2 linked regions of the Kluyveromyces lactis genome follow. The protein of the gene in region 1 purifies or fractionates together with the protein of each later gene. This does not show direct contact. Links are inferred from orthologs where the notes say so. Each region holds a gene or a part of one and is shown on either strand. Other genes may lie near its edges.

Evidence for each region.
Region 2: the proteins of RPA135 (region 1) and KLLA0_C09394g purify together in Saccharomyces cerevisiae (affinity purification with western blotting; 4 studies listed by BioGRID, with this or other methods). This does not show direct contact. The link is inferred for Kluyveromyces lactis from reciprocal best matches to the Saccharomyces cerevisiae genes RPA135 and NET1.

Annotation. Positions count from the first base shown.
Region 1 is NC_006038.1:556,366-560,724, forward strand, and holds the start of RPA135 (DNA-directed RNA polymerase I core subunit RPA135), read right to left. Parts: upstream 3,027-4,359; coding exon 1-3,026. UniProt on the Saccharomyces cerevisiae protein: DNA-dependent RNA polymerases catalyze the transcription of DNA into RNA using the four ribonucleoside triphosphates as substrates. Component of RNA polymerase I (Pol I) which synthesizes ribosomal RNA precursors.
Region 2 is NC_006039.1:816,328-820,797, forward strand, and holds the start of KLLA0_C09394g (uncharacterized protein), read left to right. Parts: upstream 1-1,597; coding exon 1,598-4,470. Other genes in the region: chromatin-associated RNAPIII regulator FPT1, read left to right, coding at 167-1,051. UniProt on the Saccharomyces cerevisiae protein: Has a role in chromosome maintenance and is involved in mitotic exit. Inhibits the action of CDC14 by sequestering it in the nucleolus. Also binds to RNA polymerase I and stimulates rRNA synthesis.

The sequences.
Region 1 (4,359 bases):
TTACCGTGGTAGTTGTAACCTGCTTTTGCTAGTTGATCACCGAAGTAGTCAGCGGGGGTGTCACTCTCGTTGAAAGTCCATGGAGTAGAATCTTGAGCAATACCATGCAATGCACCTGCTTTACCAGCAAGAGATTCGACAAACATACCAATTGTCATACGAGATGGGAAAGCATGAGGATTAATAATGACATCTGGTTGAATACCTGTTTCACTGAACGGCATGTCAATAGTTGGCCATTTTCTAGAACAGACACCCTTTTGACCGTGTCTGGAAGAGAATTTGTCACCGATTTGAGGAGTTCTTCTGATACGGTATTTAATGGTAATTGCTTGCAGTTCTTGGAATTTTGAAGATTCGTCACCAATTAATTTAACTTCCTCGATATATGCAGGTTCAGAAGAGTGGTAAGTTTTGATCTTCGTTTTATTCAAGGTGTCATCAAAGTATGCACAAATTGGATCACCTTCTTCAACGTAGGTACCTATCAGTGGTAAACCATCGTCGTCAAGCTTTTCAAGCCATTCCTTGGGCCACTCGTCTGTACCGAATCCGAAATGCTGGGTAATTGGATCACCACGGCTTCTGTTCATAGACAAATTGACCTTTTCCACCTTATACATTGTACCATATCCAAAACCTCTTTCATCAGCCGATTTGTTGATAATCATTGCATCATCCATATCGTAACCAGTGTAAGAAATAACCGCAACCACTGCATTGGTACCGTTAGGGAAGTTATCCATACCATAATCATCGTAGAGGTTAGCCTTAACAATTGGTGTCTGACCGGTTTGCAACCTGTATAATTTGTTATCAGAACGATGGCATAGAGCCACACCAGGAGTACCCATGGTTTGTTTACCCATTTGACATTGGTACATATTTCTTGGAGATTGATTGAAATCAGAGAATGGTGTTAGGTTAGCCAAGATAGAAAGAATGTTTGTTGGAGAGAACTCAACGTGGGAATGAACGTTATTTTCGATTTCTTCCGGAGTCACAGCAATATTCATATATACTTGTTCAAATGGACCCACAATATCTTCCTTATCTAATGGAAGATAACGCACCGGACGCATCATTCTAGAATGACCACCAAAGAGGAAAAGACCGGGGTATTGACCACTAGTGGTAGGTGGAACATATCCAACTTCCAAGTCTACAGGCAAACCCGGAGTCTTGCCTTCCACTTTCCAGAATCTCAAAGTGTCAGCAACGACCTTACCCTGTTCGTGAGAACACCAACCGATAATCTTACCATCTAACTGAACGCAACACATGGAAGGACCAGCAGCAATGACGTGTGCAGCTGGAGTGACACCAAGAGAGTACAAGATGGAAGGTATCTTTGAAACATCTGATTGTTCAGTAGAAATTTTACATTTATGCGAAAGATGGTTCAATAAACCACAAGGAGAACCATCTGGAGTATGCACCGGACAGAAGAAACCCCAGGATTCCGGTAACAACTTTCTAACGGTAGTAGTCTTTAATTGAGCAAAGAAGGAACCTCTATGCACCATTCGGAAATGAGAAATGAAACGGTAAAAGTTAATCTTTTCTGCCACAACAGTGTAACCAGAAACTTGCTGCAAATCTAGACCAGATTGAGAAACCAAATTACCAGTAGATAAGAAATACTGTAATTTTGACCCAATGTTTTCATTGACTCTCATAAGCACCTTGTTCATATATTTTTGATCCTTAAAGTTGATAGCTAACCCACGATTTATGTCTGTTTGAATTTGTAACCTGATGTTTTGTAGGTATTCTTCAATTTTTTCCTTGACAATCATACCATACAAGAACCCACCTAATAGAATTTCTTGATGTTGAGCTGCATCAGGATTATCTGGGGAACATTCACCAGCAACCAACGAATAGAGTTTTCTGATCATGAATAATAGCATGTTGAATTTGTCTTTGTTGTTTTCACCAAGGTGAACTAAAACAATACGGTTTAAAAGTTCCTGGCCGACTTGCAGATCGGTCATATCGGGAGAGGCTTGGAATACAACACGGAATTTGTCACCCAAATATTGCAAAGTTTGTTTACGGTTTTGTAGAGTTGGGTATCTCTTCTTGAAGCCACGTAGTAACAATTCAAGACGATCTGTCAAGAAAGAATTAGAGGTGTCTCCACCGACAACGTGATCAAAAATCTCTCTATCATTGGTATCGCATAGTGCTCTTAAGATCATTACCACTGGAATTAAATATTCATTTTTCCTCCAAGAGAACCTGAAGGTAACTTGACCATCGTTTAAATAATGCAAGACGTTAGTTTGAGATGTTTGATCTGGTCTAACGGATCTAATCTGAATACCATATTGGGAGTAGGAGGCACCTCTGTTAGCAAATGAAGGTCTAATGATAGCCATTGGATGGTTTCTACGTTGCACAATTAACATTCTGATCAATTTTTCGATACCATTAACAATGAAGTAACCACCAAATTCATCAGATTCTTCCCTATGTTCGACTAATTCGTATGGAGACATCTTGTTCAAATGACATCTATTGGACTGAAGCATGATTGGCAAACCACCACAGTCTCTTACTTCAGTAAAAGTTTCTTCACCATCATTGACCGACCATTTCAACTTCAGCAAAATTTTCCCTCTGTATGAAGTCAATCTCTGTCTGGATTCAGATGGGAAAACCTTGCGTTCTACTGCAGAAGAAACACCATCGTTAGAAGTTGGTTTAGAAATAGACACCTGTTCAATACTCAAAGATAATTTGTTACCCAAGTAGTTTGGGTTAGTGTCCGATCCCTTACCATCGAAAATAACTTTGGATCCAATATCTTTTGCCCCTAGGTTTAACAAACCACCATCAGGTCCCTCAGTCAATGCATTGAAGGAGCCAATGTGTGGCTGTACAGCGTCCGCTAGGAATGGGTATGCAGATTTATCCTTTGGAGGATTAATAAATCTTGATTCTCTTTCCAAAGTCCTGAAACTAGCAGTTCTGTTCAAACGCTCAACTGGAGCTTGTGGAGGAAGAATAACCGAAGACATGGTAACAGCTGATATATCTTAATGGTATTATTATTAGCACTGTCCCGCTTCCTATGAATCCTGCGAATATTAGCCACCGGTTTTATGATAGAGCAGATAACGTATATTAGGTCAGAACAGTGAAAAAAGGCACAATGGTTTTCGGTTTGAAGTAATCGAAAATGCTGTTTGAAGATAAAATCAAGCTATCCTCGAAACAATGGAATTCAAGCTTAGAAGAGAGAGTATTTTAGTTAATTGAATGTTGTTGCTTGTCAATTAGACTGTAGTGAATAAAGAATCTAGATATAGATGAGATGAGATGAGCTGAAAATTTTCAAAAGCTGATATTTCAATTTTTGCAAAAGTTCTTTCTTTTCTTTTTCACCACGTCCGTTTGATATTCCTCGCAAGTCACGTGAGAAAAAAGAGAAGAATGATGAATTATTATTATTATTATTATCACATGACGACCGTCTCTGATGTGAGTCAGCAAAGGACTCCACCAGACATCAATTCTGCCTTGTTGGCGCAATCGGTAGCGCGTGTGACTCTTAATCACAAGGTTGGGGGTTCGAGCCCCCCACAGGGCTTTCTTTTTACCCCCCTCATTTTTCCTTTTTTTCCATCAACCATTTCTCCGTCATTCGAAGCATCAACTTCAAATTCTGGCCGCCAGTAACAATAAAAAAAAAGATCAACACACTAAGAATGGAAAGAGCTCCAAATATAAAACCACCCACGGCTTAACCAAAACAATACATGTTACTGAATTCTTTTCTGTACCAATAAGGCAAATGTTTCCCCCAACACTTCGCAAATGAGGTTAAACGAGGAGAAAAAGGTACCAAAAAATGGTGTGGTCCCAGCAACATTTAAACTCTTGGCGGTATTAAACCCTTCCTAATCTGTCAGGCTTTTCGCAAATCTAGAACTAAAAGTTACTGCTGAACTGGTCTTTCTTGGAAGAAGAACACTCACAAACTGAGTAGTGCAGGTATGTAGCTGAGGAAAAAAGTCTACTGGAGACTTCCTGTCTCAAACAGCAAACAGATGAACACCTTCCATCTACACTAAGGTACATCGCATATTCCCGTATTTTCAAACAATTTCCCAAATCGCTTCTCGTTTTCCGTTTTGCTAACCCCAGCAGTATGCGGTTATTGTGTCGATCTGGTCCTTCTTGTGCCTTTTTTTTTTGTTTACCTTTCCAGCTACTGGAGTTTCTGAGCTTTGCAGGCTCCAAAATGGCATCCTTCTGAACCGACGTACACGTGCTTCTATTTCCGTCTTATAGAGTTTCGAAACCCTGCCGAGCAAAAGAAACAAAGCCAAAGAAAACTACATGACAGGA
Region 2 (4,470 bases), on another chromosome or scaffold:
CATTGTTTTTTATACATAGTTTGCTTTAATTATACAACGTGAATATTCAAATATAGATTGCTTGAACCCACTACAGACACGTAATCAAAAAGAAGAGAGTAATCAATTAGGTGAATAACTGTAGGTGGCACTCGAAGATAACAATAGACTGGAGTCATTGGGAGAAATGGATAAGATATACGTTTATGCTGGTGAAAATAAGCCGAAAGTCGAGCTTACCAAAATCAAGAACGTGCCGCGAATTGAAGAGATAATAAGGTATTTACATAGGATGCAAGATGTGTTTCAGCTGCAACTAAGAGCTGTGGAAACAATTACAGGAAACTTAAAGATAAAGTCCAATTCGCATAGTGATGATACTGACGATCATGACAAGCCGTTTTACATTTTAGAATATTGCGTCGCTGAAGATACGTATTCTTTATGGAAATCACGTTCAGAATGGAAGTTGAGTTCTGCAATAGCAACTTTATACGGCAGTAATACGTTAACGGACTTACCTGATCGTCTAGTTGAAGCATTGAAAGACTCACAGCATATCTTCATGGTCAGAAACCTACTTAAAGAGTTCAACATTAGGGATACCATGAAGATCGATTGGGACTCTATTGCCACTGACCTTATGATATTTTTTGAAGCCAGAGAGTTGAAGAAACCAATTGATCCTTATGAGCTTAAAACATCAATGGCTCTTTCTCTGCTTAGATCTATGGTTGACCTTAATAAAAGAGAGCTTGGCTCTACCCTTCTATCGTATGATGTTAAAGTCCATCAGGACAACAGCCCAGTTTCATCTCCTCCTTCCGCTTCCACTAAAGCTAATAAAAATATAACGTTTCAGTCTGATTACACACATATGCCATCAACCCAACTTCAATCAAACTTCAACACTTTCTTCCAATCCATGGCTGAGAATTTCGAGACCTATGACACGGAAAGACAACCTTCTACGAGATCATTGAGGTTGCCGTCATTTGCAAAGAATAAAAAAACACCTGCCGGACAGGTCCATAAACCTGCTAGGAAGGGGAACGGAATGTCTATCAACTAAAAATAAAAATTCTATTACTCAAATTTGTCGATCTCGAATTGTTAGGTTCAGTGCGCCTCTTTTGTACCCCCCAACTGAATGCAGATATCTCAAGACGAAGTTGCTCTCATCTATTTGATACATTAACATCTATATTTAAAATATACAAAAAGAAAATAAACGATACCATCAAAAAAGGAATCTTACTTAAAATCTCTGATGTTAGGAATGACAGGCCCTCAGGTTGCGGTCTTCTCCATATCATTATTCACTAACCATTAACATATTTACGTGTTTGCCTTATGTACATAATACAATAGCGCTTAGCTTCTCAAATCATATTAAACGAAGGCGGCATTTCTGTCAAAACCTCTATCTATTTTAAAGTTGAACATTTCATAAATGAAGAGAACCAAATTATATCAACAAAGAACAAAACAAAAACAAATAGTCGAGACAGTTGTATCTATCGGCAGTGTCCTTGGGGTTACAATTTGAAATCAACTCCATTGAACTGGTCGCAAGAGTATTTTTATAAACTCAAACAGGTGTGATCGTTTTCTTGCAATGTTTAAGTTGCAAGTTGTGTTGGTGCCTGCGGGCGCTAATAGAAGTTTCAATTTTGGTTTACCTTCTGTATCATCAGAATCCTCTCAGTTTATTCTGCCTGTCCAACAACAGGTTCTGCAACAGGGAGGAAATGCTCCCCAATTAGCGAATAATATTCCGGCTCAGAATGGAATTGGGGCTCTAGACCCAAATGTATCAACAAATACAGCGTATCTTTCCAGTTTTATGACCTCCCATATCACAAGACCGAAACTCAAAAAATTCTTAATATTTACGAAACCAACAAATACGTTATATCAGCTCTCGCAGGAAATATTAGACAAATGTAACAAAATTTACCCCAATTTATCAACAGAATTAGAAATCGATACCTTACAAGATGTAGATGAATGTGATTTGGATCCTGATTTTGTCGTAAAAGATGTGTTCAATGTTTACAATACAGTTCGCGTAATCTTAAGAAATGATGTTGACTTAGAATCTAATCCAGATAGGCAAGAATCATTATACTCTTCCAAGAGAAGAAAGTTGAATAACGGGAACTCTCAACAAAACACCTCGACAGGTGCAACATTAGATCAACCCGTAACAGTTGCAAAAAGGAGACCGCAAGCATTAAAAAACTCTGCATTGAGGATATCTACACCCTTGGCGCACCAAATTTATCCTCCTCCGAGTCAAAGAAATCCGAAACAAGTAAATTCTGACTATGAAGAGGATGAGTATGGGGATGATGAAATAGGTGATAAATCCATTTTACCACCTCCAACTGTTCCTCAATCCCCTCCAATTAGAATAAGTTCAAGTATTGCGCAAAAACGATTGAAAATTAACGGCTCAGAAGATACTGTGTCAAAATCAGAAACAGTCGATCCAAGTAAAGCTAAACAGCAAAGATTACCATCAGGCACTCCAATGAAACCAATGAACGTTATAGAGACACCTAATAGACCAGGTTTCTTAGCAATGCCTCAGCAAGCACAGCATTTGTTAAGAATTAATTCTACTCCGGTGGTCACCAATAAAAGGATTACTTCAGGAATGCTACGCATTCCCGAACCCAGGATTTCGGAGATGGAAAGAACAATGCATGAAGGTCTTTCTTCTCCAGCTGCTGGCCTTCTGCCACCTAAGTCAGCTAAAATTCCAATGAAAAAACAGTATATTCCTGACGAGCACGATTCCTCTAGCTCTGAAGGAGAATTTACTGAAGACAAAGAAAGCGTTCCGGTCCGAGTCAACTCAAAAGCTCCATTGCCAGTTAGTGTGCAGAGTCGTGCACCTTCATCCATTGCCGATGATAACGGTTCTCCGACAAAGAAAAGTCCTCTAGATGCTACTAAGCGCATGAATGTCAAAGTAGCTGACCTTCCACCACAGAGGAAAAGTTCTTTGGAGGCGAAAGTGGAAAAATTAGCTAAAAATGCATCAGAACTAGTAGCTGATAACCATTTATCAAGCAATACTACGAGAAAAGAAGGGTTCAGTGAATCGGAATCTGAAAATGCAGAAAGTGAAAATGAGGCCAATGATACTGTATGCATTCATCCAACTGACCGAATGGATGGTAGTTTCCAGAAATCCGAGTTGCTCGAATTATTGAAGGGGTCTAAATTCGATGTCCCTCCGGCCTTCAGAAGAGCTGCTGGAGCTTTACAGGAAAATGATATTAATAAACGATCGAGAAAACCATATCTTACGGTATTAAACAAAGATATCGACAATAGTGAACCTGATCCAAGAAATATCCTACCTTCAAAGCTCCCAAGACAGGCTGCTCAAAAAGCAGCCCAATTCATCTCTACAGGAACCTCAAGGAGACCGTTGCAGTCTTCGTCTTCTTCTTCTTCTTCTTCTGCAGTCGTTAGTGAAGAACCATCTTCAGATAGTGACATTGAAACAGAAAATAGTGATAATAGCATGGATGAAGTCAACCTCAAAAGACTAAATGTGCATCCATTAAGACCAGTTATGGTACCGGTTGAGGAAACTCAGGATACAAATGAGCTTAACAAGACAAATTCAGCTAATTCATCATCATCCTCTTCAGAAGAAAGCGAAAGTGCTGATGAACCAGGAAATGAGGAAGGAAAAGCTGCTGGTTCAGAAAATCCACAGAAATCAGAAAGTAAGGTCGACCAAATGAAGAGTGTTTCCCAGCCTGCCAAAGTCACTAGCTCGAGGCTAATAACATTGAAGCCTGTTGATACACCCAAGGAAGTGACGCCGTCGCCTTCGATGCAGCTACATGATAAGATAGATCGCCAGCTTTCGCCTTCCCCTACTAGGAATAAAAAGGATTATATCTCCCCTGAGTTCATAGAGGATTCCGATGGTGATGCTGAAAATGAGAATATAACATTATCCCAAAGATCCCAAAATAACAAAGAAAACACGGAACCCTCCTTTAACAAAGAAAATAGCGAAGACATCAAACTGAAGAAAATAACACCATCCGTATTGAAAAAGAAGCAAGAAGCAGAACAAAGAAGATTACAGCGAGAAGCAGCCAGAAAAGCGAAAGAGGAAGAGAAGGAAAGAAGACGGGCCGACAGAGAAGCTGCTAGAAGAGCAAAACAAGAGGAGCAAGAAAGAAAGAGAGCTGAAAGAGAAGCTGCCAAAAGAGCGAGACAAGAGGAGATTGCTCGCAAGAAAGCTGAATCTACAACGAAAAAAGGACCGAAAGAAACTAAGAAAAATGGAGATATAACCCCCAAGGTAATTGAGAGAGCAGAGACCGAATCTTCGGCCAACGGCACACCTGCAAAAAAAGCTGCTGAATCTGGTGTACAGTCACCTGACTCTCCATCAAGAGCATCAAAGTTAGACGAACTACGGAATAAATTCGCTGTTGGGAAAGCGTCCATAAC